Rattus norvegicus: one gene and its partners. The main gene of each other region encodes a partner of the protein of the gene in region 3 in a complex. Links are inferred from orthologs where the notes say so. Each region holds a gene or a part of one and is shown on either strand. Other genes may lie near its edges. The genes, in order: Gon7, Osgep and Tprkb.

Evidence for each region.
Region 1: Tprkb (region 3) and Gon7 share a complex: the UniProt entries of both Homo sapiens proteins name them as parts of the EKC/KEOPS complex. The link is inferred for Rattus norvegicus from reciprocal best matches to the Homo sapiens genes TPRKB and GON7.
Region 2: Tprkb (region 3) and Osgep share a complex: the UniProt entries of both Homo sapiens proteins name them as parts of the EKC/KEOPS complex. The link is inferred for Rattus norvegicus from reciprocal best matches to the Homo sapiens genes TPRKB and OSGEP.

The regions. Positions count from the first base shown.
Region 1 is NC_086024.1:127,658,014-127,665,917, forward strand, and holds Gon7 (EKC/KEOPS complex subunit GON7), read right to left. Parts: upstream 5,264-7,904; 5' UTR 5,210-5,263; coding exon 5,005-5,209; intron 1,398-5,004; coding exon 1,309-1,397; 3' UTR 728-1,308; downstream 1-727. Other genes in the region: putative E3 ubiquitin-protein ligase UBR7, read left to right, coding at 5,468-5,617. UniProt on the Homo sapiens protein: Component of the EKC/KEOPS complex that is required for the formation of a threonylcarbamoyl group on adenosine at position 37 (t(6)A37) in tRNAs that read codons beginning with adenine.
Region 2 is NC_086033.1:26,612,739-26,620,622, forward strand, and holds the start of Osgep (tRNA N6-adenosine threonylcarbamoyltransferase), read right to left. Parts: upstream 5,376-7,884; 5' UTR 5,287-5,375; coding exon 5,172-5,286; intron 4,596-5,171; exon of another isoform or gene 4,524-4,595; intron 1,964-4,523; coding exon 1,844-1,963; intron 1,741-1,843; exon of another isoform or gene 1,713-1,740; coding exon 1,537-1,712; intron 769-1,536; exon of another isoform or gene 665-768; intron 166-664; coding exon 70-165; intron 1-69. Other genes in the region: Apex1 (DNA-(apurinic or apyrimidinic site) endonuclease), read left to right, coding at 5,776-5,830, 6,035-6,222, 6,636-7,436. UniProt on the Homo sapiens protein: Component of the EKC/KEOPS complex that is required for the formation of a threonylcarbamoyl group on adenosine at position 37 (t(6)A37) in tRNAs that read codons beginning with adenine.
Region 3 is NC_086022.1:119,898,152-119,905,891, reverse strand, and holds the start of Tprkb (EKC/KEOPS complex subunit Tprkb), read right to left. Parts: upstream 5,394-7,740; 5' UTR 5,384-5,393; intron 2,637-5,383; exon of another isoform or gene 1,132-2,636; intron 1,121-1,131; exon of another isoform or gene 200-1,120; 5' UTR 111-199; intron 1-110. UniProt on the Homo sapiens protein: Component of the EKC/KEOPS complex that is required for the formation of a threonylcarbamoyl group on adenosine at position 37 (t(6)A37) in tRNAs that read codons beginning with adenine.

The DNA of each region.
Region 1 (7,904 bases), on a different chromosome or scaffold from region 3:
ACTGATGCAACCTCAGTGACTTGTGCCTATCAGACAAGCATTCTACCACTGAGATACATATCCACAGCCTCAAAACACACTCTCTCTCTCTCTCTCTCTCTCTCTCTCTCTCTCTCTCTCTCTCAGCCAGTGGTTGGCTTTGTAACCTGAGGCAAGTAACTATTCCAAGATTGAGCGACTACTCTGAATTAAGTCATTATAGTTTGTGGTATTGATGAGTCTATGAGGTTCAGAATATATCTGTAATCCCAGCACCCAAGAAGTGACAAGCAGAAAAATGAGTCTGAGGACAGGCTGGGCTACAACTAGGGAGTCCAGATCAACTTCAGCACACAGTAAAGCCATGTCTCTAAGTAACAAAAAGCCAGGCATGGTTGTGTACACCTGTGATCCCTAATACTCAGAAGTAAGACATTAAACGGTCAAAGCCAGGTAGGCTATGCAGTGAATTCCAGGCCAGTCTAGGCTACATACATAGCAAGAACCAGCCTCAAAACAAAATATGTAATTAAAAGAATTATTCTAATTTCACTAGGTATATTTTGCATTTCAAGTGTCAAAATCAGATAAGATGCACTATAAATAAAAAAAAAAACTACTCTATCTAGTTCCACTGATAAACAGCAGAAAAGAACACATACAATATATTTTAGGAATTTATATTTTTTAAACTATTCAACAGTTCCCTTTTGACTAAAATTAAAAAAAAATGGCTACAGGAAATAGGTAAGTTACAACCAATGTATTTTATTGACTTGGGCTTTACATCTATACTTGTACAGATGTATATATATACACACAAGTCATATTTCTTATCAATTCTTTCAAATATTAATTGCCTATGAACTACAACAAGCAGCTTTTATAAACACTGAAAGATGTAGACATACACCACTTGATTCAATGAGCATTTTAAGAGAGAAAAACAAACATAAAAATTCATTTGCCAATTTAGAGTTCATTCACTGTGAGCGGTTTCATTTTATTTTAGGATGAGACAACAGGAGTTCACTCCCAAACACTTGTACTTTGTTAGGAACAAGAAAGTTTGCTCTGTGATGTTCCAGTGAAAGAAAATGAATTTCCCAGCTAGAGCACAGGTCTTCTGTAATTCCAGTGATGAGGATAGCATTGCCCTGCTGTCTTGGGCCTTTTTTTTTTTTTTTTTTGAGGCATGGTCTTGGCATGTAGCACACAAGTTGGCCTCCAAACTTTGATTATACTGCCTCAGCCTTTGAACGAACTGGGATTACAAGTACACATCATCTCACTCAGCCTGGTAGCAGTCTGAATGTCTTAAGAGCTGTGTTAAGAAGTTGGTTTAGGTCGTTTTGCAGATGGTCCATCTGAGTTAGTTCTACCAGAGTTATTTTCATCTTCTGCATCATCTTCATCACCTTTTAAAATAAATGTCTGTTGTATGATATGTTTAGTGGATAAAAGAAATACAAATAGGTAAAGAGACTGATACGAGACGTCCCTTTGGGGACTAAACAACCACACATATCTTACACTTTATAAGTGCTAGGAGCCAGTGGGATTGCTCAGTGGGTCAAAGTAAATGCAGTACAGGTAAATATGGTGACCTGAGTTCAATCCCTTGAGCCCAATAAAAAGGAGACCCCACTCTACATATGCATCATGCTAAAATGAATTTTTAAAAACTTCAGGAATTAGTTGAATGTGACAGCCTTTAATCTTAGTGCCTAGGAGACAGAAACATGCAGATCTCTCTAAGTTCAAAGCCAGCCTGATCTACATAGTAAATTCCAGGGGAGCCAGGGCCACACAGTAAGGCCACATCTCAAAAACAACGTAACTGTACACCTTTCATTACAGCACTCGGAAGGAAGCAGCAGGCAAATCTCTTGAGTTTGAGGCCAGCCTGTCTATAATGTACTGCTTTATTATTGCCCCAGGGACAAGAGAATCCTCACATACATCAAATAATGAATGATATGTGACCCTGGCTCCTTAATTTAAAACTACTGGTTGAATAAAGATGCCTACTGCCTATAGCTGGGTAGAGGAGAGGTAGGTACAGTTTCGGTTCTCTTGGTTTGAGGAGAACCACAAGAAAAAAGAAGATGGAGAGAAGACACCACGGGGGTAGGTGAGTCATGAAAACATGGCCAGGCTACGAGGGTAGGCCAGCTGGAGTTAAGAGCTGCCCAGATGGAACACAGCAAGTTGTAACTCAGGATTATTGATGGGGAAGTGGATCAGAATAGCTTATAAGGGAGGTATCTGCCCAGCTCTAGTGCATTAACAGCATATTATAAATATAAAGTTGTATGTCTTTTAATCTGAGAACTAAATGATCTAAGGTGGGATAAGAAACTTCTAATATAACATATTGGCACCCAATATGGGGTACCATTTTGTACAAGTCTGATTTCAGTTCTTCCTCCTAGACCAATGTTCCCAGAAATAAGACTCAGACTCAAAGTATATGTACAAATACTTTGGCCATATAGGCTCTTCTCTGATTAGATCATAGGATAACCCATTTATATTAACCTACATTCTGCCACATGTACGGTTACCTGTGTTCAGGTACACGCATCCTTCTCTTACAACTACTAATTTACTTTCAGCTGCTATAGATTGCCTAGTTTGGACATCTCAGACAAATGAAGAGTGTAGAGCCATTTGTGCCTGACTGTTGTCTTAGGATTCGTTACCATTGTACTGTGAATCCACGTATCATTCCTTTGTGTATATGTGTATGTATGATGTGTATATACATGCTATAGTACACACAGAGGTCACCATTTCAGTATAGGTCTTTACCTTCCACTTTAAGAAAGGGTCTCTACATACATGAAGTTTCCTGGCTCCATCTTCCAACTCACTGCAAGGGCACAAGAATTACAGGCACATGGTCTTACATGGGTTCTGGGGAGTCAACCTCAAGCCCTCATGTCTATGCAGCTGGCTTTACTTTAATTGTTAGACATTATCCAACAATTTTCACATGACTATTATTCAAAAATTAAAAGAATGGGCATTTGTATTATTTTCACTTTTCAGCTACCAATGAACAGTGCTGCTACCGTCAGGTATTGAATCTTGGTATAAACATATTTCCAGTTAACTTGGAAAACTAGTGGTTTAATTATGGGGTGGTATGGTTAAGTTTTTAGAAATTCTAAAGTGGACAAACCATTTTACACTTCCACCAACGAGGGCCTATCATATCCTAGTATGATAGCTAATCTTGGTTGTCAACCTGCCCAGCCCATGAGAAAAGATATGGAAGGAAGCTTTTGCTTTTTTTGCCTGCTTGCCCTCACTCTGACTAGCAAGTTCCTCTACTCTGTTACCGAGATGCCCACGATGCTCCTTTGTTGGTGTTAGAACCTACTTCTTTAGGACTGGAACAAAGACTGAAAACTGGAGTCCTCTTAAGAAAGTCTTAAGTCCCTGACTGGGACTGTTGAGACATCCAGTCTCATGGACAAACAACTACCAGATTCTTGGCTTTTCTGTCAGGGCTTTTTTTTGGTTCTTTTTTTCGGAGCTGGGGACCGAACCCAGGGCCATGCGCTTCCTAGGTAAGCGCTCTACCACTGAGCTAAATCCCCAGCCCCTCTGTCAGGGCTTTTTTTGGACTACTCAGACCACAGGCCATAAGTCACTCTTACTCAGTTCTGCTCCTTTGAAGAAACCTAATACATCTAGATAATACCTTTTAATGACAGCCAACGCCCATATTATAAAGAATTAGGAAGTACAGTTTAACCTCCTCCTTAGTTCCTTGATTCCTTAGTTCAGGACGATATCTATCTTGGGATTCAATTCAAGATAAGAAAAATAAATGTAGCCAAGCTTGAGTGTGGGCACATTTCTTTATTCCCGACTGCTGAGGCAGAGTCAGGCGGCTCTCTGCAACTCAAAGCTAGTCTGGTTTAACAGTTACATGGTGACAATGTCTACAAAATAATTTTATTCCTAGTAACAGGGTTGGGGCTGGAGAGATGGCTCAGCGGTTAAGAGCACTGCCAACTTTATCCCTGCATGCACAAGGCACTCTCAACTGTCTGTACCTCTGCTTCAGGGGATTTGATGCCCTCTTCTGGCCTCCAAAGGCACTGCACATAAGTGGTGTACAGACACGCATGCAGGTAAAACATCCATCTTTAAAAACAAACTCCAAACCTAACAGTTAAGTTTCTAGAACAGTAGAGGGGGTGAGAGAAAGCAAGAGCCAGAGGAAAGGAAAGTGTACGGCAGCGGTGATAACCAGTAAAAGTTGGCAACCTAAACGTTCGATCATGGAAGAGGGAGGGGCTCATGAGGCGCCTCTCCTCCCGGAGGAGCGTTTGGCAGTTGATGGGGGGCGCGGAGTCATTGTTTTCTTCAGTGGTTTAGTCACTGCTGAGTTGCCCTAGTTCCTGTAAACAACCCACCCAAGCTCACACAAATATCCTTAAATAAACTCAGTGAGTGACAACAAAAGAAAGGGCAGGAGCCCTGTTGGGAAGGGGTTCAGCGGGGGATAGAGAGAGACCAGAATGCACTACATACATGAATGAAACTATCAATTAATTTAAAAACTAAAAAACCCTTTTACTTTCAAAACAATACCTATAAAACTGAGAGGGTTAAGATTCCCTAAAACAAAGTGGGTCTCGATCATCTGAAGCTCTTATTCTGTCAAATGTTTTTCTAATTTCTAACTTCACTCCTTTTCTTCTTTCAACAATCAGCTCCAAAGTCCCGCCCTTTCGGTCTTCCTGCCAGTTAGCAATGGTTACAGACCACCACACTTTCTCGAGCAGATCTGCCTATCTCGATCCTTTGCAAGGGAGTCGAGCTGACTTCGTTCGTTGTCCAGTCCCTAATCCAACACTCGCCGCGGTGGGAGATCAGACAAAGAGGGCAGAGAGGACTAACGATTTTTAGAAGCGATTCCTCCTCCCCCAGTCTCGCCTTCTCTAGGCTGCCCTTCACACTGCCTGCCCCCGCCAGAGTCCCCCGGCGCCCCGCCCCCGCGCTCACCATCCAAAGCGTCCTCCGGATCTTCCGCCACGCCCTGTGCGTCCTGCTCCACTAGGGTCCCGAAGAACTCCGCTACCAACTCCTTCATGCGGACCACGCCCGCCGACAGGCTCTGGAGAGGGTCCGCGTCGCTCGACGCTTCACAGGACACTTGTAGCCGCTGCGGCTCCCCGTCACCACCGACATACTCGCCAGAAAGCTCCATGGCGACCGCTCAGCTTCAACAGCGCGCCACAGAGAATCGTCACCCGGAAGCGGAAGCCAGCCCGCAGCCAGGGCGGGCGGGAGAGGAGAGTAGGAGGGATGACTTCCGTTTTCCCGGAATTGCCCCGCCTATTTTCTTCCTTCTCCTTCCTTGGGATTGGTTGGCTGGTGCTCGGGCCCCTCCTTCTCGCGACGCCCCTGGCGGCCACTTTTCCCGCCGCCTCCAGGGCCACGCAGCGGAGCCCGGTGACAGTTGAGGATGGCCGGAGCCGAGAGTCCCACCGGGTGCCAGGCGGAGCTGGAGCCCGTGGTGTCGCTGGTGGACGTGCTCGAGGAAGACGAGGAGCTGGAGAATGAGGCGTGCGCCGTCTTGGGCGGCAGCGACTCCGAGAAGTGCTCCTACTCGCAGGTGCGCGTGGCCCGGCTGCTCCCGCCGACCTGCCTGTTTCCCGCTGGCCGCAGCCCGGCCGGCTCCGGGGCGGCCCTTTACTTTGTGCTTCCACAGCCGGGGCCCAGCTGCCCTTTGATCCTCAGCTTGTCACCACCAGGGCTGTCCTTCTGTCCTGCTGGCCATACACTGTAGGCTTCGGTCCTGGAGCAGCAGCTCTGTCCTCCAGTTGTCGCCTCTTGGTGGCCTGCTTTCCACGAGATTATTCTTGTGACCTCTTAAATCCAGATATTCTTCGCCCCACTTCTACCCCTAAAGAATGTTAATTAAGGGACTAGATGGGGAAACGTAAAGAAAAATTGGGCCGAATTCGAAAGTCTTCCGGTGAGGGTGGGCTTCTGGACACTACTGTAGTCTAGTTTAACTGCTAGCTGCGCCTCCCCCCCCTTCCGGTTAAATGAAGTTCCGTGTATAAGTGCTGTATGACACCCCCTCTCCCTCGGGAGTAGATCGAAGCCAGAACATCAGGTGGCCCTGGAAAACCAAGAGAGGAGAAAAGGATCTTCTTGGGGTTTCTGAACAAGAGTTTGAGGGGCTGGGATGTAGCGTTTACTGACGCTTACTATACATTTAAGTACTAAAGTGGAAAAGGGTGTGTAGGAAGGAAACTTAACAAGGATGAGAATTGGTGGAAGGAAACAGGCTAACTATGCCCATGGTTGGAGAGGAAGACTGGGGAAGGAGTGAAGGGGCTTGGAGTTAATTGTGTGGTGTGGACCGAAGTCATAATACTATTTTTCTTTGTTGACCAAGTTGGGTTTGCACTGCAAAATTGTTGGATTGTTGAATAAGTCTTGTATCCCAGAAACGGTCGCACAGTAGTCGCTGGCATTTAAATCGAAGGATCGCTGTTAGGTTTCAAACTTTGGACAAAGGGGCTGCTGTGCCTATTTAACATATCAAAGAGGATGGTGGCCTCCAGGTTCTCCCTGTCCTTCTGTCCCTTCCGGAGCCCTCCTGACTGGGGCTGGGCTACCCTTCCCTCCTCTTCCCTTCCCTAAATAATCCAACCGTTTTGTTTATCCAGCTCTCTTGGGTCTCTGGACTGTAGCACCTGGCTCCATATCCTTTCTCCCAGTCCTCTCTCTCTCCTTTCACAGGGCCCAGCTCAGGGTTGTTTAGACTCTGGACTCTCAGGTGTCCTAGCCCCGATGCTCTTCCTTTAATAATAAACTTTTTCTCTCCCACCACACCGAGGAACAGATATGTCCTTTCCTTCCTTTTTTATTTTTATTTTTTTCATTCAATGACCACTAAACCACATACACCACCCCTTCCTTGGAAGGAAAGAAAGGTCCTAAGGCTGTATGTGAGCTGTTTATTAATATACTTAGCTTTATAAAATATTCACTACAGTTGTTGGAGATAGGATCTTATATAGCCCAAATCTGCCTTGCATTCATTATTCTCTTCACCTCCCAAAGTATTACAAGTGTACACCACCATGCTTGGCTTAAAGTCTTGTTCTTTTGTGGATTTTGCTGTGTTTTTTGAGACAGAGTCACATTGTGTGGTTCAAACTAGAATGAAACTCACTATGTAGCCCAGGCTGGCCTCACAAAGATCCATCTCCCTCCCAAGTGCTAGGATTAAAGGTCTGGTCATAAGTTTCTGTATATCCTATAAGTATAGATATTAATAGTGATAATAATTATTTTCTTTTAGGTTTTTGAGACAGGGTTTCTCTGTGTAGCACTGGCTGTCCTGGAATTCACTCTGTAGCCTAGGATGGCCTTGAACTCTGAGGCCTTGCCTCTGCCTCTTGAATCCTGGCATTAAAATTGTGTGCCACCACTACCGCCCGACGGTACTTTTTTTGTTTTTAAGACTTATTTTTTAAGTATTTGTGTGGATATGTGCATGTGAGTGCAGGTACCCTTGAAAGTAGAGGAATCTGATCCCTCTGGAGCTGGAGTTACAGGGTTGTGAGCTGCCCAGTGTATGTACTGGGAACCCAGTGCTAGTTCTCTGAGAGAGCTGTATGTGCTTTTAACCTCTGGGCCATCGCTCTAACTTCAAGTGGATTTTTTTTTTTTTAAAGATTTATTTATTTATTATATATAAGTACACTGTAGCTGTCTTCAGATACACCAGAAGAGGGCATCGGATCTCTTTACAGATGGTTGTGAGCCACCATGTGGTTGCTGGGAATTGAACTCATGACCTCTGAAAGAGCAGTCGGGTGCTCTTAACCGCTGAGCCATCTCTCCAGCCCTCAAGTGGATTTTAAAAAGCGTATTTACTGCTG
Region 2 (7,884 bases), on a different chromosome or scaffold from region 3:
TTCTTGCCTTTCATTTCGTTTTGCTTCCCAGACCCACATCTTACACACTCTATAGTCTTAATGGCCTACCTTCAGCACCCGGGCAAAACGATCCAAACAATTTCCCACAGCAATATCAATAGTTTCCCCAAAGATGCGGTAACGATGTTCTGAGTAGGAAATCACCTAAGAACAGTGAGACCGCCCATGAAACTTTCAGCCTGTGAAGAGGGGTGTTTAGCTCCGTGGAAGAAAATAGCATAGAGCCAACATGGCCACTAGAATTGCAGTAAGAAAGAAAGGGAAGCTGTCTTTAGTGGCTCAGACCTGTAAGTCCAGCACTGGTCTGGTTGGACAGGCAGCCATGTTGGGCTACACAGTGAAGGCTAAGGGCAGCCTACACACATAGCAAGACCCTGTCTCAAGAACCCCAAACCAGGAGCTGATAAAATGGCCCTGTAGGCAAAAACACTTGCATATGAGCCTAGAGACCTGAGTTTGATCCCAACCCATAAAGTGGACCCTGAAAGTCTATCCCCTGATGTGCACATACACAACGGCATGTGTGTACCCACATACCCACATCTCACATGCACAAAATAAACCCAGATATGATCAAGATATCACATACATGTATGACTTGCCAAACAATTAAAAAAAAATTCTTCCAAGAACCAACAGACCAGTGCTTGCTTTGCAGCACACACACTAAAACTGTAATGATGCAGAGGACGAGCACGGCCCCTGGGCAAGGACTGCACTCAAATTCCTGAAGCGTCCCGCAGTACATACAGCCTAAGAAACAGAACGCACGCAGGCACGCACACAGACATTCCGTAAGAAGTAGAAAAAGGTGAGCCAGGCACGGTGGTACAGGTCTGTAATCCCAGCACTTGGGAGGAGTTTGGAAGATCAAAACAGTACAGGGAAAGCTGTCTAGTGCACTGAGACCCTACCCTACTGAGTCACATCACACAGCAGGCTCTCGATCCCAGCTGCTTAGGCTGAGGAAGGAGAATCACAAATTTGGGACTGGGTTATCTGGAGACCCTGCCTTTTAGAAAAGGAGAGCGGGATGGATAAACGAAGGGAAAAATATATTTATAAGGCTAGAGAGAGGGCCCAGTAATTAAATGCACTGGCTACTCTTCCAAGGGACCTGAGTTCGATTCCCTGCACCCACACGGTGGCTCACAACTGTCTACAACTCCAGTTCCCAGGGATCTCATTCCCTCTTCTGTCGTCCTGGTGCTCCTACATACATCCAGGCAAAACACCCACACAAGTAAAACAAAGTTTGTTTTTTTTTTAAATTAAAAAAAGAGAGGCATATTATCTTGAAGGGTTAAATTCACATTCTTTTTAAATGAAAGATTCTAGGTGTATGTATAAAGTTCTAACATTCTAATTCTTCTCCAAAACTTGCAACTTCATACCTATTATTGTATTGTCTACAGTGTCTTAGGTCCGAACGTGCCTGGAATGTCCTTGCAGCTCCTGTGACTCAGGTAGACTACCTTAGAACTAAGAGGGAGTATGAAGAGTCCTCTTAAGTACCTGAGTATTTCCTCCGCTGACATACAAGACAGTTGGGTTGACGGCTCCAGTGATGAGGCGGCCCATTTCAATGTGGCCTATGCAGTGGTTCACGCCTAGCAAAGGCTTATTCCACAACTGGGCCACAGTGCGGGCAACAACAGCTACGGAAGCCAGTGGGGCTCCCATGCCAGGACCTAACAGGGTACACACGTGGTTAGAATCCTAGAAATTAGGAAAGACGTGTAGAGTAGATTTGAGAATGTGTAACAGGGGTGGTGGTAGCTCCACCCACATTCGCCCTTGCTGACCACTCCCCCAGCCTTACCTTTGGTGTAAGCAATGCAATCGATGTCCTTGGGGGTTAACCCTGCCTCTGTTAGCGCCTCCTGCAGTAGGTCTAGGATGACAGCTCGGTGGTGCCTGGCCGTGTCACCTGGAAGGAAACCTACGGAACCATAAGGCAGGTATTAGGTTGGTGCAAAGGGAAGTGTGATATGGGGCTGTGAACTTTAAATCACTGTAACTAGGTTCCAACACATTTTTATTAATCAAAACACAAACCATTTTTATTAACACATCTTGCAACAAACCAGTCAGCTAGGCGGTGGTGGTGCAAACCTTTAATCCCAGCAAGGCAGAGGCAGGTGGATCTCTATGAGTCTAAGGCCAGGCTGGTCTACAGAGTTCTAGGACAGCCAGGGATTTGTACAAAGACCCTGTCTCAAACAAAAAAAATTTATTTATTCCTGCAGCAAACCCATGTTTCAACAAACTCTTGGAAAGCACTCTCTGCATACTGCAAGTTGTGGAAACGTTTTCCCCAAGAAAAGTTGTCAGGGTAGTGACAAAGCGGTGGTCAGTTGATGAGAGGTCGGGTAAATGTGGTGGATTTAGCAAAGCTTCACTTTGGTCATTCGGTTTTGAAGCATGGGTTGTGCCACAGGCAGTCAGGCATTGCTCTGAATCAGGCTCTTCCTGCTAAACAATGCTGACTGCTGGAGCTATAGTTTGGTGCATCTCAATGATCTGCTGAGTGCCCTTCTCAGAAGCAATGGTTTCCCTGGGCACCCTTCTCAGAAGCAATGGTTTCCCTGGGCACCCTTCTCAGAAGCAATGGTTTCCCTGGGCACCCTTCTCAAATTCAATGGTTTCCCTGGGCACCCTTCTCAGATGCAATGGTTTCCCTGGGTACCCTTCTCAGATGCAATGGTTTCCCTGGGCACCCTTCTCAGAAGCAATGGTTTCCCTGGGCACCCTTCTCAGAAGCAATGGTTTCCCTGGGCACCCTTCTCAGATGCAATGGTTTCCCTGGGCACCCTTCTCAGATGCAATGGTTTCCCTGGGCACCCTTCTCAGATGCAATGGTTTCCCTGGGCACCCTTCTCAGATGCAATGGTTTCCCTGGGATTCAGAAAGCTGTAGTGGATCAGACCAGCAGCAGACCACCAGTGACCCGGACCATTTTTGGTGAAAATTTGGCTTTGGGGCTTCTCAGTTCAACTACTAAGCTGGCTATGACTAGTTTTCCCCTACAATCCACTTTTTGTCATCACAACCCAAGAAATGGTTCATACATGAGAGCCGAAAACAACGGCTGTTGGATTTTCAGTCTGTTTATGAGGTATCAACCTACTAAGGTTTTGTTTTGTGTTGTTTTAACTTTTCAAATATTCAAATGATCACTGATTGGTCCACGTTGAGCGCTTTGGTATATATTTCTTTAGCTGTAAGATCAGCTTCCACAGCTGTTCTCAGTAAACAGGTCAAAGCCAACTTCTGATAGCCAACCATTTCAGTGCTCTTGTTAGTCTCCTTGCAAGGTCCTAAACCACCAAGGCACTGTTAGTAAGCAGTTCCAGGGACCGAATGTTAGGATTGCTAGGATTCCAAGTCATCTCCACTGCTTTACCTCCCATTCTAAACTCAGTCGTTCCTTGATTCCATTTTTGTTATTTATTTTGAGACAGGGTCTTACGGTGTACCCATGGCTGGCTTGGAATTTGCTAGACCAGGCTGGCCCCAAACTCAAGAGATTTGCCAGCCTCTGCCTCCTGGAGTACTCGAATTACAGGTTTAAGCTCCCACACCTGGCTTTAGTTTTATTTCTGTCTAACATAATTTCCATAGTATAAGATAGATAGACATAAACAGCAAGAAGTGTCATAGACCAAAAATAAATAAAAATAAAGCTCATCCAAACCCCAATGTGATATGTGCACATTAAGACACGCCTGTAGCCCCAGCATTTGGGAGGCAAAGGCAGGTAGGCAGGTAGGCCGGCAGGCAGGCAGGCAGGCAGGCAGGCAGGGAGGGAGGGCGAGGCAGAAAATGAACGATTATAAATGCATTCTAGTATCAAACTATGAATTTTGACAATGCAAAACCTGCAATTATTTTTGCACTGCCCAATTAGAAGTAAAAACCAACACGGACATGTTTTAACGATGTAGGGAAAAAAAATCCTTTTCTCGCCTACGTCTTAAGATACCCTCTTTTCAAGCCTCTACTTTTAAGACAAGGTTACACATAACCCCGGACCGCCTTAAAACACAGACCCTGTCACAGCCTCCCAAGCGCTAGGATGACAGACGTCACCACACACTCAGCTAGCTTTCCAACTTCTACACAGGCTACTGGGGTTTCAGAGACGCTGCGGACATCCACACACAACACTCAGGAGCAATCCAAGTTATCCAGACCTCCCACTCTTTGGTCACTTCCCCTGTACAGAGAGCCCTAGGAAAAGTGACTGTTGGACTTAACATAATGACAGCACTACAACTGTCAGTAGCTTCCCTTTCACCTCAAGTATCTCAGCCTCTGTGCCTAAGAGCCTAGAAGAGTGAGTCCTGAACACACATACATTTCTACTACATAACCTGAAACATCTCACTTGCTTAGGGAGTCTTCAGATATAAATGCAGCTTGTATGTATGTGTGCAAGCTTTGGGAGAGGGTAGGCAACATGTAACTTGTAAATATGTTAACTGGGAGTTGTGCAGTACCTGGTGCATTCACATAGTTGTCCAAACCCACGGATATTCATTTCCATTCTAAAAGGACTGAAAGACAGACACCTAAAACAGATCGAAAATACAGTAACTCCTGATATCTGTCCGGCTCTCCCCTTTCCTCATTGTAGACTACTTTTATATTTATCTCGCTCTAGTGTAAAACAGTCTCTATGTGCATGTACAGTGTACAGCCTCGGTACACTTATTTTTAAAAGCTCAGCTCATAAAAGGTGCTCAATAAAACGAATGCAATAGGGAGGAGTGGCTCACGTCTTTAATTCCAGCACTCAAGAGCTATAGTCTTTACAAAGCAAGTTCCAGGTCAGTGAGACCGTCTCAAATTATGTATTTTAAAAAACAAAACAAAACAAAACAAAATAAAAAAACAACAAAAAATCCTTGACAAACACACGTGTCCTAAGCCCACGTGTCTGACTGTTCTAGTCAAAAAGTTACCAACCAAACGCGAAATCAGGGTCTTTTTTCTTTCCTTTTTTTTTTAAGGGAGTCTGGAGTAGGGTCACAAGGCAGTAATACCAACAGGAACGCTGACGAAGCAACAGTATGGGAAATCAGCAAAGAACCCTTGACAGAAATAAATGCGACAAGGAGTCTGCAAGCGCGGCAGCAGCCACTCACCGGTGCCCGGGGCCGTGACGTATGTGCGCCGCGGGTTCGCCAGCACCGTGCCGTCGCGGACCACGCCCACGCCAATCTTGTTGGCGCTGCCTTCGAACCCCAGCACCGCGGGCATGATACCCCGTGATTCGGGATCGTGGAACTGAAGGACTAGCTGTAACCGGCACCGCGATGAACGACCCAGAACCAAGCGAAGGGACCTTCAGGCGCCAGAAGTTATGTCACGAGTGGCAGGCGAACCAATCACCGCGCTCTAGAACCACGTGGGGGCGGAGCCCTCGAATCACGTGACAACACCAATCGCCCACGTGGGAACAGACAGACTCCATTCTTTGTGCAGTGAGGGGCTCCCTGCCTCGTTGGGAGGTCAGGTACCAGGCTTACCCCGTTTCGCGACCTTGTTTGCCGAAGGGCCTAACTCGGGCGAGGGGCTGCGAGGCTCAAGGCGGGGAAGACTGGGAGAACCGCGGTCCCGGTGTGCAAACGCCTGCGGGAGGCGGCTCGCTTCCTCTCCTTGTATTTTGATTTCACCGTTTCTTATCTGCAGGCAGCGTAGTAAACACTGCTTCGGTGCTCCAGACGCCTAAGGGCTTTCGTTACAGCGATGCCGAAGCGGGGGAAGAGAGCGGCAGCGGAAGACGGGGAAGAACCCAAGTCCGGTAAGGTGGTGAAATGAACCGGATCGCTCCCCTCCCCCCAGGCAAGTTTGGGGCTTTACTAGACCGCCATTAACTACTTGCTTAATATGGACCAAGTTACGTTGCAGGATTCCGAGATGTTTGGGTAACTAGAGCGCCTAACGAGATCATAGTTAACTCTGAGGTTGGAAACTGCCAGCTCTTACTACTTGACTTATTTTATAGAGCCAGAGACCAAGAAGAGTAAGGGGGCAGCAAAGAAAACTGAGAAGGAGGCCGCAGGAGAGGGCCCTGTCCTGTATGAGGACCCTCCAGATCAGAAAACGTCAGCCAGTGGCAAATCTGCCACACTCAAGATATGCTCCTGGAATGTGGATGGGCTTCGAGCCTGGATTAAAAAGAAAGGCTTGGATGTGAGTACAATTGAGGGACGTAAACTTTACTTGATAGACTCTTAAGGATCAGTCATCTTGTAGGCTTTTTTTCCTGGAGATTGGTTCCAAAAAGTCTGTTCTTTAAACCCCAACCCCCTCATTTCTTTCTTTTTTAAACTAGTCTATAATGTCGGGGGGGGGGGATATGCCCTTGTGTTTCTACCATATCCTCAATCCCAGTCATTTAAGATCCAAGTGGGCTGAGGGCTGGAGTTGCTCAGCAGTTAACAGACATTGCTGAGCTTGCAGAGGCTCCAATTAGGTTTCCCGCACTCCACTCAGGTGACTAATGGGCATTCACTCCCACACACAGTTTGTTTATATATCCTGCTGCTTGGATTCCTTCGGCATATTGTATGTAGCAATTTTTAATTTTCCACATTGTCATTCAGTGGGTAAAGGAAGAAGCACCAGACATCTTGTGCCTCCAAGAGACCAAATGCTCAGAGAACAAACTCCCGGCTGAACTGCAAGAGCTGCCTGGACTCACCCATCAGTACTGGTCAGCTCCATCAGACAAAGAAGGATATAGTGGTGTGGGCCTACTTTCCCGCCAATGCCCGCTCAAAGTCTCTTATGGCATTGGTGAGACCTCAATGGCATTCATGTCTGAATGTTCTTCATTTTACTGTACTATTTCTTTAACATTTTGTGCTGCTTTTCATTTTTATATAGGTGAGGAAGAACATGATCAAGAAGGCCGGGTGATTGTGGCTGAATTTGAGTCCTTTATCTTGGTAACAGCCTATGTTCCGAACGCAGGAAGGGGTCTGGTAAGACTGGAGTACCGACAGCGATGGGATGAAGCCTTCAGAAAGTTTCTAAAGGACTTGGCTTCCCGGAAACCTCTTGTGCTGTGTGGGGATCTCAATGTGGCTCATGAAGAAATAGACCTTCGTAACCCCAAAGGAAACAAAAAGAATGCTGGTTTTACTCCCCAGGAGCGCCAAGGCTTTGGGGAAATGCTACAGGCTGTACCACTGGCTGACAGCTTCCGGCATCTCTACCCCAACACTGCCTACGCTTATACTTTCTGGACTTACATGATGAATGCCCGCTCTAAGAATGTTGGTTGGCGCCTTGATTACTTTTTGCTGTCTCACTCTCTTTTACCTGCTTTGTGCGACAGCAAGATCCGGTCCAAGGCTCTTGGCAGTGACCACTGTCCCATCACCCTTTACCTAGCACTGTGACACTCCCCTCAAGTAGCTTCATGCTGGGAAATAGCCTCCTCTCCTCCAGGAGACCAGTGCGTTATCTCTTCTTCAGGTGTTTACTCCCCTCTAAACCAAACTTCTGGTTTCCTTTAAACAATCCAAGTGAAATAAAAGTCCTACTTTTCAACTTCATGGTCTCTGTCCCTTTTTGAGTCTAAATATTCCCCCTTTCAAACACAAAACTTGTTAAATGGGAAAGGTTACAGTCATGACATTATTTATTTACAAGCACAGATGAATCCCTGACCTCTCCCAAGACAGTGACCCTACCTCAGCCCAGTTCAATACTTCAACTGGAAGTAAAGCCGGAAGGAGGAATTCAGGGATGCACAGGGTTAGGGGAACATATCCCATATTAAATAGTTATATATATACACAACAGTTCCTGTAGTTCTGTACAGAGCAGTGGCTGACCCCACCCCAC
Region 3 (7,740 bases):
GTGAAAAGAGGGCCTGGGAAGATGATTGATTGGTAGAGTACTCAAGCACATGCATAGAACCTTGGGTTCAATCCCAAACACTGTATAAAACCAGGTGTGATAGTGCTCACCTAGAATCCAGTGAAGGTCAGAAGAGGAGGATCAGAAGTTCAAGATTAGAGGAGATTAGGAGCGTGGGTCTTTACAGTCTGGAAAATGCCTCAAAACAAAACAAAACAGAACGAGTCTTTAACCTGCTCTTGAACATAGGTAATTCAAGCCCAAACTACCCTGTCCACCAACCCTGCCAGCCTAACAATTTTTACAGAGGCTTCTGCTCCCATCATTCAGACTGGAAATCTTTATCTATATCCAAACACACGAGGTTGGGTTTATATAAAAAAGAAATTTGTGCACTTCTAGCCTTGGCCCCTGGAGCACTAGCCCAGACTCGGCTAGTAGCAGGGCCTCCCAAGTGAACTATGCAGTGACACCCACACCATATAATGGTATAGGGATCGATAGAGCAGGAATTAATGAAAGATCCCTGAAGTCATTTTCTGTAAGGATCAAGACAGAAAAATTGGGCTCAGGCTGAAATCAAACGATGATGGTCTTTCTGTTCAGCTAGTCTGGGCTAACATCTCACTGCTGGAGTGAGATTTGGAAGAGAAGTGACCCAGATATACAGTGAAATCTCTTCAGGCTGGAGCTCTGATAAGGCACACTAGGTGCTCAAAGCATGCTTTAGAGAGACTAATAAGATGACTATTTGAGACAGATCCTTCAAACAAATAACCATTAAATCTAAGGATAGTAGTGGACATGTTGGTTTTATCTTTAAAAGTGTAAAAAAGTTCATCCTGGGGGCTGGGGATTTAGCTCAGTGGTAGAGCGCTTGCCTAGGAAGCGCAGGCCCTGGGTTCGGTCCCCAGCTCCGAAAAAAAGAACCAAAAAAAAAAAAAAAGTTCATCCTGAGTGAAAAAACAGTCTTGCTGACAAAAACAATCCTCATCCACATAACTTCAGTGAAATCAATGGACAGATGACATTGGACTGAAGGACTCACAGACATACCTGGCACTGTGGTTAAAATTACATTCACACCTACTTTTATCTTTGTGCAAATTAGTAAGTTTTACAAAGACCTACTTCTACGGCTCAGATGCCACAAACGTGTATACACAGGAGACTCCTCTAGAACCAGGGGACGTAGCTGAAGGAAGGTCTTTTCATCTTCCACTGTGGCTGGAATCTTGTCATGGTGGGACTGGCTATCTTCTTCAGACTCCAAGAGATAGCCTGTTCCTGGTTTTACAGATGTAAAACTACCAAAAGATTTACTGACTTTTCTAGAATAGTGTCTCTCCTGGAAACCTGATGCTTTTGTAAGATCCTGATTAGGATGACTGACAGGCTATTTTTACTCCAAGTGAACTATAGTGCTCTCTGTAATACTTTGGCATCCATATTTAAATATTTAATAGTAGACATTACCATAGTCTACTCAGGGGAGACTGCCTTTGATAGTTGTTTTAAGTTTTCTTGGTCGGTGTGTGTAAAATGCCAATTAATCAATACTGGTTCATTCTGTGTAAGCATTATCTCAAGAATTACCATGATTATCATTAAAATTCAACTCTCTTCACTTAATGTGTGTCATCTGTTGTTTTAACTATGGTGAACATCAGCTGGGCATAGTGGCACACGCCTTTAATTCCAGCACTCAGAAGGGAGAAGCAGGTGGATCTCTGTGGGTTTGAGGCTAGCCTGGTCTACATAGTTAGTTTCAAAATAGCCAGAGCTACACAGTGAGAACCTGTCTCAAAAATAAACAAAAACAAAAAGGTTATAGTGAGCATATACAATAAAAACCAAAATATAATAACTGCTGACATTTATAAACCCAAAATGTTGGCTGCAGAGATGGCTTACAACACAACCAACAGGACCTAAAACACTGACTCAGTGTTACACTTGCCTGAATCAGCATAGGTGTTATTTGTACTTGAGATTTTCTGGTACTTGCATAACTGAAACCCCGTGTAAAGGTTGACCTGAAACCACATCTAAAGGGTGACCTATCACTTTCTGAGAAACAAACTGTTGTATACTTAATGAAAAACTTCTTATTCCAAACGGAATTTTGGACTCTTTATTACACGTGTACATTAAGCGGCAAGGATTAACTTTGGCACCTGAATCCTAACTTTATGTTCCGTAACTCCTTTGGAGGCAAGTCTTGGAATGTTTTCCTCAAAACCCTAGTTTGTTCCAGTTTCTTACGCCTTCCTCCCTGCAAGCAAAATGGCACTGACTCTTTGAGCTTCTTCTTTGTCTATGCCTATTCTAATATATCCTATTACATGTGTATAAAGTTACATTTTCATCTGAAAAGAGGTCAAAGTCACCCTCAACTACACAACTCCGGTCCCAGGCTAGCCTGGGTTATATGAGATCCTGCCTCAGAAAACAGAACATAAACCACGACTGGAGAGTTGGCTCAGCCATTAAGAACATTTGCTGCTGTATATGGAATGGATCCCCAGGTGGGGTAGTCTCTGCTTTACTCTTTGTCCCGTTATTTCCCCCTGTGAGTATTTTGTTCCCCCTTCTCAGAAGGACTGATGCATCTACATTTTGGTCTTCCTTTTTCTTGAGCTTCCTGTGCTCTGTGGATTGTATCTTGGATATTCGAGCTTTTATGCTAATATCCACTTATCAGTGAGTGCACACCATGTGTGTTCTTTTGTGACTGGGTTACGTCACTCAGGATGGTATTTTCTAGTTCCAACCATTTGCCTAAGAATTTCATAAAGTCATTGTTTTTGATAGCTGAGTAGTACTCCATTGTGTAGATGTATCACATTTTCTGTATCCATTACTCTGTTGAAGGGCATCTGGATTCTTTCCAGCTTCTGGCTATTACAAATAAGGCTGCTATGAACATAGTGGAGCATGTGTCTTTGTTATATGATGAGGCATCTTTTGGGTATATGCCCAAGAGAGGTATAGCTGGATCCTCAGGTAGCACTATGTCCAATTTTCTGAGGAACCTCCAGATTGATTCCCAGAGCAGTTGTACCAGTCTACAATCCCACCAACAATGAAGGAGTGTTCCTTTTTCTCCACATCCTTACCAGCATCACCTGTCACCTGAGTTTTTAATCTTAGCCATTTTGACTGGTGTGAGGTGGAATCTCAGGGTTGTTTTGATTTGTATTTCCCTGATGACTAAGGATGTTGAGCATTTCTTTAGGTGCTTCTTGGCTATTCGATAATCCTCAGGTGAGTATTCTCTGTTTAGCTCAGTACCCTATTTTTTTAATAGGATTATTTGATTCTCTGGAGTCTAACTTCTTGAGTTCTTTGTATATATTAGATATTAGCCCTCTATCAGATGTAGGATTGGTAAAGACCTTTACCCAATCTGTTGGTTGCCATTTTGTCCTATTGACAGTGTCCTTTGCATCGCTATTGCTGATGCCAAGAAGTGCTTGCTGACAGGAGCCTGATATGAATGTCTCCTGAAAGGCTCTGCCAGAGCCTTACTGATACAGATTAAGATGCTTACAGCTAATCATCAGACTGAGCACAGGGACCCCTATGGAGGAATTAGAGAAAGAACTGAAGGAGTTGAAAGAGTTTGCAACCCCACAGGAAGAACAACATCAACCAACTAGACCTCCCAGAGCTCCCAGGGACTAAACCACTAACCAAAGAGTATACATGGGGGTGGGGGGGACGGACTCATGCCTCCAGCCACATATGTAGTAGAGGATGGCATTGTCTGGCATCAATAGGAGAAGCCCTTGGTCCTGTGAAGTCTCATTTCCCCAATATAGAGGAATGCCAGGGTGTTGAGGGGGAGTGGATGGGTGGGAGAGGGAGCATCCTCATAGAAGCAGGGGGACAGGGGATGAGAGGGGGAACATTTGAAATGTAAATACATAAACTATCCAATTAAAAAGAAAAAAGGGGGCTGGAGAGATGGCTCCGTGGATAAGAGCACTGACTGTTATTCCAGAGGTCCTGAGTTCAAATCCCAGCAACCACATGGTGGCTCATAACCATCTGTAATGAGATCTGATCCCCTCTTCCTGTATGTCTGAAGACAGCTACAATGTACTTATATAACAAGTAAATAAATCTTTAAGGAAAAAAAAGAAAAAAGGAACATTTGCTGCTTTTGCAGATGACCAAGACCCAGCATTCAGGTGGCTCACAACCATCTGTAACTCCAGTCCCAGCAGATCCAATGCCCTCTTCTAGCCTCCATTGGTACCAGGCACCCAAGTGGCACACACACATATATACAGGCAAAACATACTTACACATAAAATATTTAAAAAAAATTTAAAAAGCACAAAACTTAAACGTAACAGAAAGTTACCTCTGATTTTCTAGAATTATGTGTGAAGGTTTCTGTTATAGAAAAAGTTTTATAATGTCCTGACACAGCCTTTCTCATGTTAGCATCGAACTGATAAAGAATATGGTAGGTGTGATCCGTATGCTCTGTCATGTAAAAACATCAAAATAATGGCTAACATCTCCAGAGCAAGTCTGTGGTGAAAGCAAGTTTGCCTAGCCTCCTAACCTGTTCCCTGGCTTGAGGCAGAGGCAGGCAGATCTCTGAGTTTGAGGCTACCCTGGTCTACAGAGTGAGTTCAGGACAGCCAGAGATACACACAGAAAGCCTCTTCTAGGAAAACACAATAAAATACCTCACTCTCCCGATGAAGTATTGTGGTATTAGCAACAGGAGGTGGTCTAAGGCAACGCCCATGTTCTGACTCTTCTACATCCACTTCTAACTCTGACTCATCCTTGTCACAGACACTACCATCACCCCTTATCATTAACATCCTAACAACGTCCTCATACGGGCCCTGGCCACCAGTAATGCAATTCTAACCTATCCTTATGGTCACCGGGTCCTTCAGGAGGAAGTCAGAGCTGAAGCTAAAGCCCTAACTTCCCTGCCTGACTTCTCCGGCCTGCATGGCATGGCCTGCCCTCACTTAGGTTGGTCAGGCTTTCCAACAAGACGTCCCTGTACTCCCGGGCTTCCTGCCTGGATCCCTCCCGCCCCCTGGGAGCCCGCTGGCCCCCTAAAGCCGGGCGTGGGGGGCCACTCTCGGAAGCAACTCCCTCCCAGCACTGGGCCTGGCTGTAGCTGAGCGGTCCGCACGCGGCTCCTCCAGCCTCAGCCTCCGGCATCGCCTGCAGGGGGCGCCCCGGCGCGCGCGCAGCCGAGTGGCCTTCCGGCCGGAGCCGCACTCCTGAGACTATGTCGCTCTCCACCCGCGGCTTGGGAGGGCTCGCGACAAACACTGGCGAAGACATGCACACTTAGCCCACAAAATTGTCCGCATGGAAAGAGCTACAGGGCGGAACTCACCCTCAGTCTCCTGTCCGTCTCAGAAGATCGTCCCCTTGGAAACGAAGCTCTCTACTTCCGGAAGAGCTTAATGTTTGATCAGGTGGACGGACTCCAAGGCAGCCTGTTTCCGGTGGGCGGACTCCTGGCTATGTTTATATGAACTTCAGCAAACTACTATTAATGCTAGGCGCTTGTGGCGGAGGCTGAGGATAGCTACTTCTGCTTTGTCCCGGCTTCGGAAGCAGAAAGCACCCTACAGGTTGGGCCTAGTAGTTGAGGTATGGTATTGAGTGTCAGCTTTGTTCTTAGCCTGTGTTGAATGCCCTTTTCCTGTGAAAAGAAAAATATTCACCAGGACGTGAGTTACAATTCATCAGCTTTTGAGACTCTGTTTACCCGAGTATGCTCTCAGGTAAAAACGGGGATGTGGCGTGCTTGGGTCCTACTTTGAAGGAGCTCTTTCGGTGCTTGGAGATCTAGAGACAAGTGGACTCTCACAGCTGTGACAGAGGAAAAAGGCAAATTTCTTGAGCAGACAGAAGGACGTGATACTGGGATCAAGTCCCCAAAATCCATCAGCCTCAGGAAATTGTGCAAGACCAGGGTACTGCTCGTGGAAAGGATGGCCACCTAGATAGTAAAATCAGATTTTGATTCTTGCTACCTGTCAGCGAACCCAATGAATAAAGGGCTTGAATCATAATATTACAGTTTATCCAGAGAGAGCCAACAGTCTTAAGAATGTAGATTAATTACCCTAAAGACATGTATTTTATACCATCTCCACCCAGCAGATTATATAAAGGAGGAGATTGGGCCATAGGCAAAGACAGCCAATAATCCTGGAGCTCCATTTTGCCTCGCTGGGCAGATGATATTTGCTTTGTTAGCTTTCTGCACTCTTTCTCATCTGCAGATGTTTGGATCTAGGCACGTTGAAACTCAGAGTCTAATTAGTTTCTACTGAGATCAACCTTATACTCCTCCAGAGGTACCTGGGAGGTTAACTCAAAACAAATAAGAGGGTGTCAGCACTAGGTTCCTTTCCTCAGTGTGGAGTATGGGTGTCTTCATAATACAGAATATGAAAGTGTCCCTATCTGTCCCCAATCATTCTCCGCTGTCAGTAGCAACTCTGAGATCTGTGTCATATTAAAAAATGAGATCCTGACACCGTGTACCTGGTTGATTGTCAGAATGACTTCTTACTTGTAAGAAAATTCTCTGGCACAAAAAGATGTGTGTCAGAACACAGCATATGTGTAACAGAAGCAGCTGTGACTTGGAGTGAGAATTTCTGAAATATGCCTTGTTCTGAAGCAAATATAAACAATAAAAGTATGAACCAAGGTTGGAAAATGTGTCAGGTATAAAATGTATAAAAACCATTTCTCTTTAACTTCTCTGCTTTACTTTTGGCCCTTACTCATGAGGGCCAGGCTGTCCTGCAGTTGTCAGCCTTTCTGTTTCAGCTTCCCAAGTACTGGAATTGCAGACAAGCAACATCATGCCACTGTGACTTGGTTCTGGTACTGACAAATCTTTCCACATCTCTGAAGAATGTTCTCTGAAGATACTATTGCTTGGCTATGGTGGTTTGATCTTGTCTCTCATCCTTGGGATGAGATCTGTCCCAACAGATCTGATTCAGTGTTGAAGGTGTGAATGAGTGACAGATGTCAAGGAATTAATGCCAATAAACCCTAGAATCCTACCTTGTCAATTTTTTTACATTTTGTTTATCCAGTTGGTACTATCTTAGCATCTCCAAAAACACTAATGGGGATGTCCATTAGAGGCTGTATTTTTGCAAAAATGTCTGTAGACGGTAGCCATATTAATTCTTAAAGAACACCACACAGAACTAATGAGCAAACATTTAAGGAAAGCTAGTGTTAAAATTCAGTATGTAATCCATTAAGATAGCCCAGCAAGCTTGAGACCTGAATAAAATCCCCTGAGCCCACCTAAGGAGGAAGGAGAGAACCAACTCCACAAGCTTGCCTTCTAACCTCCACTCACAATTTTGAAGCAAAATTTGGGTTCTTTGGCTGGGTAGGGTAAAAGGTCTACAGCATTAACTATTTAAAAATAAACTTTAGACCCATAATGGGGAACAGTGTCAATGATTATACACAGATGTAATAAATGAATTATGAATACAGCAATTAGGTATGTCTTCTGTCAAGGTGAAGACATATACACCAGGATTTTAGATAACAGTATTAATTGTGATTTGGTTTTGTTTTTAATTCTGAATGATACTGGTTAAAAATAGTACAACACTCACAGCTTCACGCGTGCGTGCGTGCACGCGCGCTTGCACGCACACACACACACATCAGTTTGCGTCACCACATGGAAGAATTACACAG